2 linked regions of the Arabidopsis thaliana genome follow. The protein of the gene in region 2 interacts with the protein of the main gene of each other region in a pairwise test. Each region holds a gene or a part of one and is shown on either strand. Other genes may lie near its edges.

Region 1 (3,312 bases), on a different chromosome or scaffold from region 2:
TCAGGAATACTTAAATGAACCTTCTCTGCGACATCATCGGGATACTTTACCACACGCCTCTTGGTTATCTCACCGAAGCAGAATTGAGCAAAGCTTCAAAGGATATGTGTGATCTGACACAAGCCGGTTTTAACCTGGATTGGTTGCAGTCAAAGCTTGACATGGTTTCCTTGGAGAAGAAGACTTCTGAAGAACGGATTCTGGAACTCAAACTAGAGGTCAAGAAACTCGTGATGACTGCGACTGATCTCAATAGTGAGAGGAAAAAGGAGAAGAAGAAGTTGAAGAAGCAACCAAGCTGGATACACGCAACAAAAGATGGGCGACTATATTTTAATTTTTTCTAAAACACTTTAGAATAACATAATGGTTATTTAGGGTTATCTAATCTTTTTTTTTTTTTAATATTATTATTATGGATTGTTTATCTAGAAACAATAATCATGTATTATTCGGAAAAAAACATAATTAGATACCCCTACGTTTTCTGTAGTAGGTTTTCTAGTTTGTTTTACTTTATACGACTTTTTATTTAATAGCTTGTCAGACACGGTTTGATTAGGGCTCTCTTGGGTTTCTTCATAGATGCTCATATTAGAAGAATGAATGTGTTTAAATTTACCCGATTTCAATTGGCTAAAACTGGACTATTAATGGGCTAAGAATGGGCCAGCTTAAAAGTATTTTTGATAAAGGTATACACAGATTGCTAAAACAAAATTGTTTGAAGACACTCACTATTAATGAAAGGTAGAAGTGGGGTTTGATTTTAGATATCAAAACCGAATATTCTTTTATTCCTCACACACACATAGGAACACACCTGAATGGTGCATCACACGGGATAACAACAACACACATTCAACACAAACATGACGAAATTAAAGACAATAAACCAAACTAAACCGGAAACAAAGTAAACACGGAACATAAACATATAAGAGCTATAGTAATCATAATCTGCTGATTCCGAGGGGAACCGAAGCTTGCCAAAGGATCGAAGTTGCCCAAACGAGGGATAACAAAAGACACATCAAGCTTGTCTTCATCAACCTTCATGCAATCTTCATCGCTCCATTCACACACAATCCTCATCATCATCATCATCACCATATTGATAATTATGATATTGGATAATGATGATGATGATGATGATGATCATTTACACAACACCCACACACGAACATTCACAATCATAATCTCCAAGAGATCTCTTCTTCTTCTTACCTTTTGTGAGTACTCTTGTGTTTGGGGCCATCCCATAAAGAGAAACTTGAACCTCTCAAAACCCTTTATTGGTGAGATCTTCTGATAGATTCAGAGGGTTCTTGAGCTTCAGTTTCTTTAGGGGATGGCCATATTTTGTGTGTTTGGTGTTGTGCCAAAGAGAGTTTCAACAATGGATGTTGTTAGGGTTTTTATGGCTTCTCTCTTTGTCTTTGGTCATGGAGACAAATTATACAAGAGGTTGAATACACTCATTACATCGATTCAAATTATCATTTTTTTATATTATTTTGGGAAAAAAGTGGAAGGAGATGATGGAAATGGGGAAGTCCATGTAAAGATGTTGGGAGAATTTGGATCTTCTAAAAGGAATATGCCAATTACCAAACATGTGTGTTTTAAAACAACAAAACCATCTCATCACTCTTTATTTTACTAATAAATCATATTTCTTTCATTTAAGTATGCAAGTCGGTAGAGCTCTATCTGTCTTGTTCTGTTCAATAACAACTGATTAATCACCTAAAATCCATTAAGAAAATAACAGAATTGATCCGCATGACAATCTTGTCCCCAAGCTTAGTTCAGCTGTTCGGACAAATATTATTGGCTCGATCTTTAGTACCAAAGCTCGTCTCAAAGCAATTGTCAATCATATCAACTTATAACTTAGCTCCTTCACTGCATATTTTTTTTTATAAATTACGCCTAGGATTTTGATTTCCGATTAATTTCATTCTAAGAAAAAAGATTTCATATCCTTGTGAGTTGAGATTAGACTTATTAGGCCATGGTTATTTCAAAACGTTTAACGTATACAAAAGGAAACAACTCTGTCTCCAAGTAATTTACACATTCTCATTCCAACCAAAGAATAGTAGAATACAAAAAACGAAAAGTTGACACTGCATATACAATAGCAACGAACCTAGTTATGTAAGGTAAGCCAAAAAAAAGAAGAGTTTGATAGAAATTTACCTTACACAATTAGTTTTCATCATCTTTTAGTTGTTTTTTTACCGGCGTGGTTCATTCATAGACTTTCCTTCAAACAACTCACCCAACAATCTTTCAAGATCTTCAGCTGTATACTTTATGTATTTCTGAGGATTCTTCCCACTCTCAACCAAAGGCCTGCATCGATCATAGGTTAAAATCTCATTTAGGTTTTTTTACATTTCAATCAAATATTAGAAAAGCCTTCGCAGTAAAGAGAGAAAGGAGATTTTTACCCAAAGCGTTTGAGGAATGATCTATAAGCAGGCAATAATACTTCAGCAACAGCAAGTCTTAGTGACTCTCTTAACTCTGTGTCTGGAACTGTCCATTGCGATTGTCTCTGATGCAACTCATCAAACTGCATATTGAACATCTTGAACCTGTTCCATTTTTTTTTTACAGATTTATCATCATTACCAAATATATAAACATTTGCCAATTACTGTGTTTATTTTACATGTTTAGGACTTACCTCTCTTTTAATAATCCTCTTGAAACTCCACTGCTGTTTCCTCCCTCTAAACTTCCTCCCCCAGATGAGGTCAAACCTTGCGCCGATGAGCTTTGTAGTATCTACAAAATATGTAACAGTTTCTTAGTAACAATTTAATGAAATTTTATATAATAGTGTTTCTTTACAGAGTTAGACAAATAGACAGAACCTTTGTCCAGGCAACTCTTTTGTATTGGTTTGCATGTTGCTGCACGATACGCCTATGTCTTTGAACCCAATCATCGCCTAACAAATCCTTGGCTTCTGACCTGAAAAATTATCATATGAATAAAGCTAAATGAGTGCGTTCTTTTATTTTTTTAATAAAACCAGATCAGCCTTTAAAGTTTAAACGAGAAAAATAATATACCTGCGCACAGATCTGACCATGTAATGAATGTTGTTCATCAGGAACAAGTGTGTCAATGCAGGATCTTTGTACTGTTTCGATTTTCCGTCCAAGTTGTTTTGAAGCGCCTGCATTATCCGCATCGTTACGGATGCTAGCTGCGAATTTGAGTCATCTCCATTTCCAAATTCCAAGAAAAGTTGCTTCAATGTTGTTTGGTAGCTGACACCAATGATCATCAATT
Region 2 (5,182 bases):
AACTATCATATAGAAAGGAACGTTTGTTTTATGCATGTTAATATTACTACCAAGTACCAACATCTAAAGCGGTAACTCAACTGCACGAGTGTATGATCAATACAATATCAGTAATATTAGCCAAATCACAATTTTTGCCTTAAATGATACAGGCTTTTGTAACCATGTAAAACTTTTTTTTGGAACTTAACTCAATCTAAAATTGTCATGAATATGTTCTTTTTTCTTCAAAAACAATATTCATCTAGAACCCCACTTGGAACAAAAACTACTGTTAAAGAAAAGGAAACTTCACTATAGTCGACAACTCGATATCCACATCTAAATACTTATTTATAATTATTTTATTGATTGGTAATCTATTTGTATTATATTCTCTGCAAAGAATTTTGTTTTGTGTCATGGTCAGTGAGTGGCATATGATTTCAGTAAACACAAGTCACTTATTATGCAATCATGTACAGATTGATTCAAAACATATCCGTTAATTAATTTGAACAGTTGGAGATGTATAAAGTCTGAGTTGGTACTTCCAAATGGTTTAAGATTTATAGGAAGTTGTGTCCTTTCTGGCTTCTGCCATTAACCTCAGCCAATAGACTGTAACTTGCATGGCTCCGCCTCCAATCAACTTGCTCTCTAGAATATGTTGTACTATTAAATTAAACAATATATCGATAAATTCGATGAAAATCCCAACTGTAATTTTTTCTCATAGTATCAATTTTAAACTTTACTGTATTTTCTAAAGGCAAAAGAACTTTCTATTATAGATAAAAAAAAAATATTAAAATTGTGTAAAAGAGAATGTATTGAAGTTTTAAATGATCGAGAGTCAAAGACATTATCATTTGACTAGAGACTAAAGATGCACATTCTGTAAGATGTTAACTTAGGTATAAACTTTTTTTTTAAGTGTGATGTAGAAGTTTTCCACGCATATCGATCAGCTTAACCTTTTATTTAAACTATAAAACAAATCACTATCAATAGTTTTACTTAACGTGTTTCCTTCTCCATATCAAACTTATATAAATAATCTAAGAAAAACCATAAAAGCCAAGTACAAACGTATATAAATCGGGTATTTCTCAACCTAGATATATTTTGGTAAAGTATTAAGAAAACAAAACTGTATCCAAAATTGGTAGCTTGAGAATAACATATAACTAAATTAATATCGTAAAGATTGAGAAGATCATCACTTACAAACATTCAACAAGGTAGCTTCGACAACAACACAAATCTAATGTGTTTAGATGGTTCCATATTTTTAAATAAAAAATCAGTTTGCAAAACAAACAATTAGTACTAAAATAGTTTGTTTTTTTCTCACTTAAAATCCATATTTCCCTAGTTCACGTACATTTTCATTTATTATTCGTCAGCAAAATTATTATATCTTCTTGAAATGATGAATTCAAATAAAATAAGCAAAACTTGGCAAAGACTCAAAATAGCACAACTAGACAAAAATACCAGCTAACAGAAAGTAATAAGAAAAAACTCAAATAAATGGAAAGACATTAATAAGGCAGATATATGTTTTTTTATATTATAAATTGTTTTTTTTTATAGTATAAAAATAAAAATATCGGCATTCTTATAGGATCGATCTCTCATGCAAAACAACAAATTCAGACAAGAAACCTCAACGGCTCAGACCCACCAATACCAATTTTTTAAAGAGATTTCTGTCACAAGTAAGAAAGAAGCACTAATTACAAAAAAAAAGAAAAAGAATCAATCTTTTGTTCTTCGATTCGATTTCTAATCAATTAGATTGTTTTTGTTTTGTTTAACATCAGTTGCGAATCGAGCTGGATTCTTGGGCTCGCTTTTTCTTTCAATCAAAAGTTTCGATATTAGTGAAGGATAAAATTCGCTAAAAAAAGAGAATTTTTTTTGTTAAAAAAATTATAAAAGCTGGCTTTCTCAAAATTTCTCCATGTGGTCGACGAAGAAGACGAAGAAGACGAAGAAGAAAGAGAAAGTCTCTTAGCAAACATGACCGCCACCGAAGCTAAGAATCGCAAAATCAATGTCGGAGATGGAGATGACGTTGTTGATATCGAAATCCCTGACACTGCTCATCAAATTAGCAGCGGTTTGTTTTTCTCTGTTCCAATTGTTGTTTTGTTTTTCAATCTGGTTTCGATAAGAATGTGTTTGCTTAGATGTGTCGAAAAAAGTTTTGTTTTTTTTAAATGTACGGAGATTGTTTCCCCAATTTCAATTTCTTTAATGCTTTTTTTGATTAAAATATGAAAATGGTATCACCAGGAAGAAGAAGTAGAATCTGACTACTTCAAAATGTTGACTTTGATGATTTTAACGATGACCCTTTTGAAAAAATGTTTTCTTTAATGATCCTGGAACCATAAGATTGGGAAATTTTCTTGCTTTGCCAAAACTCTGCTTTCTATAAACTGAGATCATGTTTTGGGAAGCTTATACTATGTTTTGTGGAATGTGCAGATTCATGGTTTCAGGTGGCGTTCGTTTTGACCACCGGTATAAACAGCGCGTATGTGTTGGGATATTCAGGAACAATTATGGTTCCTTTAGGTTGGATTGGTGGTGTGGTTGGTCTTCTTATTGCTACTGCAATCTCTCTTTATGCAAACACTCTAATAGCTAAGCTTCATGAGTTTGGTGGCAGAAGACACATTCGCTATAGAGACCTTGCTGGATTCATTTACGGTAAATAAAAGACCAAACCAGCTCTCTTAATCTCTTCTCTGTTGTTACCTTCATTGGAATGATCTCTCTTTTTATCAGGTAGGAAGGCTTATCATCTTACATGGGGATTGCAATATGTTAATCTTTTCATGATTAATTGTGGATTCATTATCCTAGCTGGTTCCGCCTTAAAGGTAGTAAAACATTTTCTTCTCTTGATTCTTGATTTCGTTAGACGAGTTAGTTAATTTTGGTTGTGTGTTCTGTTTCTGCAGGCTGTTTATGTGCTTTTCAGGGATGATCATACCATGAAACTACCTCATTTTATAGCCATTGCTGGTTTGATTTGTGCGATTTTCGCTATTGGGATTCCTCATTTATCGGCTCTTGGGGTCTGGCTTGGAGTTTCGACCTTCCTCAGTCTCATCTATATTGTTGTGGCAATCGTGCTATCGGTTAGAGATGGTATAACTAATCAAATGATCATCAAGATTCAACATTACTAATGAGTTTAACTACTGCAAAAATCTAATTCTTGCTTTGTTTTGTTTGTTTCTAGGAGTAAAAACACCTTCAAGAGATTACGAGATACAAGGATCATCATTGAGCAAACTTTTTACCATCACAGGAGCAGCCGCAAATCTGGTTTTCGCATTCAACACCGGGATGCTTCCAGAAATTCAGGTGACTTTTCCCTAGACTTCAAAGTTCAATTGTTTGTTTGTGTTTGCTTTTATGTATTAGTGTACCTTTTGTTCAAGTAAAACCTGCATCTTAAACAAAGTTTGTTTGTTAATCATATTGACACTATAATTTCCACAATGTTAGGCAACAGTGAGGCAACCAGTTGTTAAAAACATGATGAAGGCTCTATACTTTCAATTCACAGCGGGTGTTTTACCGATGTACGCAGTTACATTCATCGGATATTGGGCTTATGGATCCTCAACCTCGACCTATCTACTAAACAGTGTTAATGGCCCACTCTGGGTCAAAGCCCTTGCTAACGTCTCTGCTATCCTTCAATCTGTTATCTCTTTGCACGTAAGTTTCTTAGCGCCAAGTCTACGCTTTTTTAACAAAGACTGTCGTCTCTAACTATATGTCTGACTCAATTCTTTGTTGTAGATATTTGCGAGTCCAACATATGAGTACATGGACACAAAGTATGGGATCAAAGGAAACCCATTTGCGATAAAGAACCTGCTGTTTAGGATCATGGCGAGAGGCGGGTACATAGCGGTAAGCACGCTTATCTCAGCGCTGTTGCCGTTCCTCGGTGACTTCATGAGCCTAACTGGTGCAGTGAGCACATTCCCTCTCACATTCATTCTAGCCAACCACATGTACTATAAGGCAAAGAACAATAAGCTGAATGCTATGCAAAAGCTATGGCATTGGCTTAACGTTGTCTTCTTTAGTTTGATGTCTGTTGCTGCAGCCATTGCAGCTGTCAGACTCATCGCCGTTGATTCCAAAAATTTCCATGTTTTTGCAGATTTGTAATTCATTATATTATATAGTCAATTGTGTATCCTTTATTCTTAGGCAGGTTTATTTCTCCTGTAAGCTTGTATTCTCTCTCTATTTGTCTTACCATTAGAGCCTAAATAAATAAATCAAGTTCTAAAATCTAAAAAGCATATAAAAGACCACTTTCATCATAATCATTCTGAAAATTTACCAACAAAGAATACTAAGTTGCATGATTAAAGTCTCTATTAGAAATGTAAATCATAGTATTAGAGAAGAACATAAAAACACCTAACTTAAAAAAACCTTAATTTAGTGAGATAGAGAAGAGAAGAAACAGAATTGTTGTTGGTTTAACAAAAACCTAATCTTTCAATGATTAGCTGTTTAATTTGAAATTATAACAATAATTTAGACAGGCCAAAGTGGAACCCCACTGTCTCCACCAAAGCTCTAGATAAAAAAAAAAAAACGAAAGCGTTAGATATTTTTTATCAATCGTGCTCCGTAATCATTACCTTTCTTCTTCATCTTCATCTTCACGCAGCGACTTCTTTGATTCTCTCTTTTTATTCTCAGCTCCAATTTCAACCTGCATTTCTCTCTTCTCAATTTTGGGTTTCTTTTTTTGATATCTCATTTGATCAGATCGACGAAGAGGTAACCATTTTGCCGTTTGTTAGTTCTTAACGATTTTATTCTGTTAAAAATCAGATTTTTTTTTGCAATGCTTGTAGAAAAAGATTCGATTTTTGTGTACTGATTGAATCAAAATATGTGGTTATGGATCCATGGATTGATTTGTTTGAACTGATGCAAATGGCTAATGTGAAAAGTCAAGAATGTGTTAATGTAGTTTTTTTTGTTAAACCTCTTTGTGTTGTTGGGTTTTGAAATGTTGTTGTTACAGAGGAAGAAGGTTTGAGCTGAGAGATCTTTGGAGGTAGAAAGAAGATCTCAAAAACGATGTCGTTTACAGGAACTCAGCAGAAATGCAGGGCGTGCGAGAAGACAGTGTACCCTGTGG

What was found.
Region 1: the proteins of PROT1 (region 2) and AT5G03545 interact in a protein complementation assay, tested with the Arabidopsis thaliana proteins (one large-scale study listed by BioGRID).

Annotation. Positions count from the first base shown.
Region 1 is NC_003076.8:892,848-896,159, reverse strand, and holds AT5G03545 (expressed in response to phosphate starvation protein), read right to left. Parts: upstream 1,579-3,312; 5' UTR 1,114-1,578; coding exon 901-1,113; 3' UTR 643-900; downstream 1-642. Other genes in the region: AT5G03550 (MATH domain/coiled-coil protein), read left to right, coding at 15-347; EXO70A1 (exocyst subunit exo70 family protein A1), read right to left, coding at 2,244-2,361, 2,460-2,606, 2,699-2,799, 2,889-2,988, 3,090-3,290.
Region 2 is NC_003071.7:16,654,015-16,659,196, forward strand, and holds PROT1 (proline transporter 1), read left to right. Parts: upstream 1-1,562; 5' UTR 1,563-2,007; coding exon 2,008-2,107; intron 2,108-2,333; exon of another isoform or gene 2,334-2,478; coding exon 2,479-2,703; intron 2,704-2,781; coding exon 2,782-2,876; intron 2,877-2,957; coding exon 2,958-3,147; intron 3,148-3,241; coding exon 3,242-3,366; intron 3,367-3,510; coding exon 3,511-3,726; intron 3,727-3,810; coding exon 3,811-4,188; 3' UTR 4,189-4,398; downstream 4,399-5,182. Other genes in the region: WLIM2a (GATA type zinc finger transcription factor family protein), read left to right, coding at 5,122-5,182.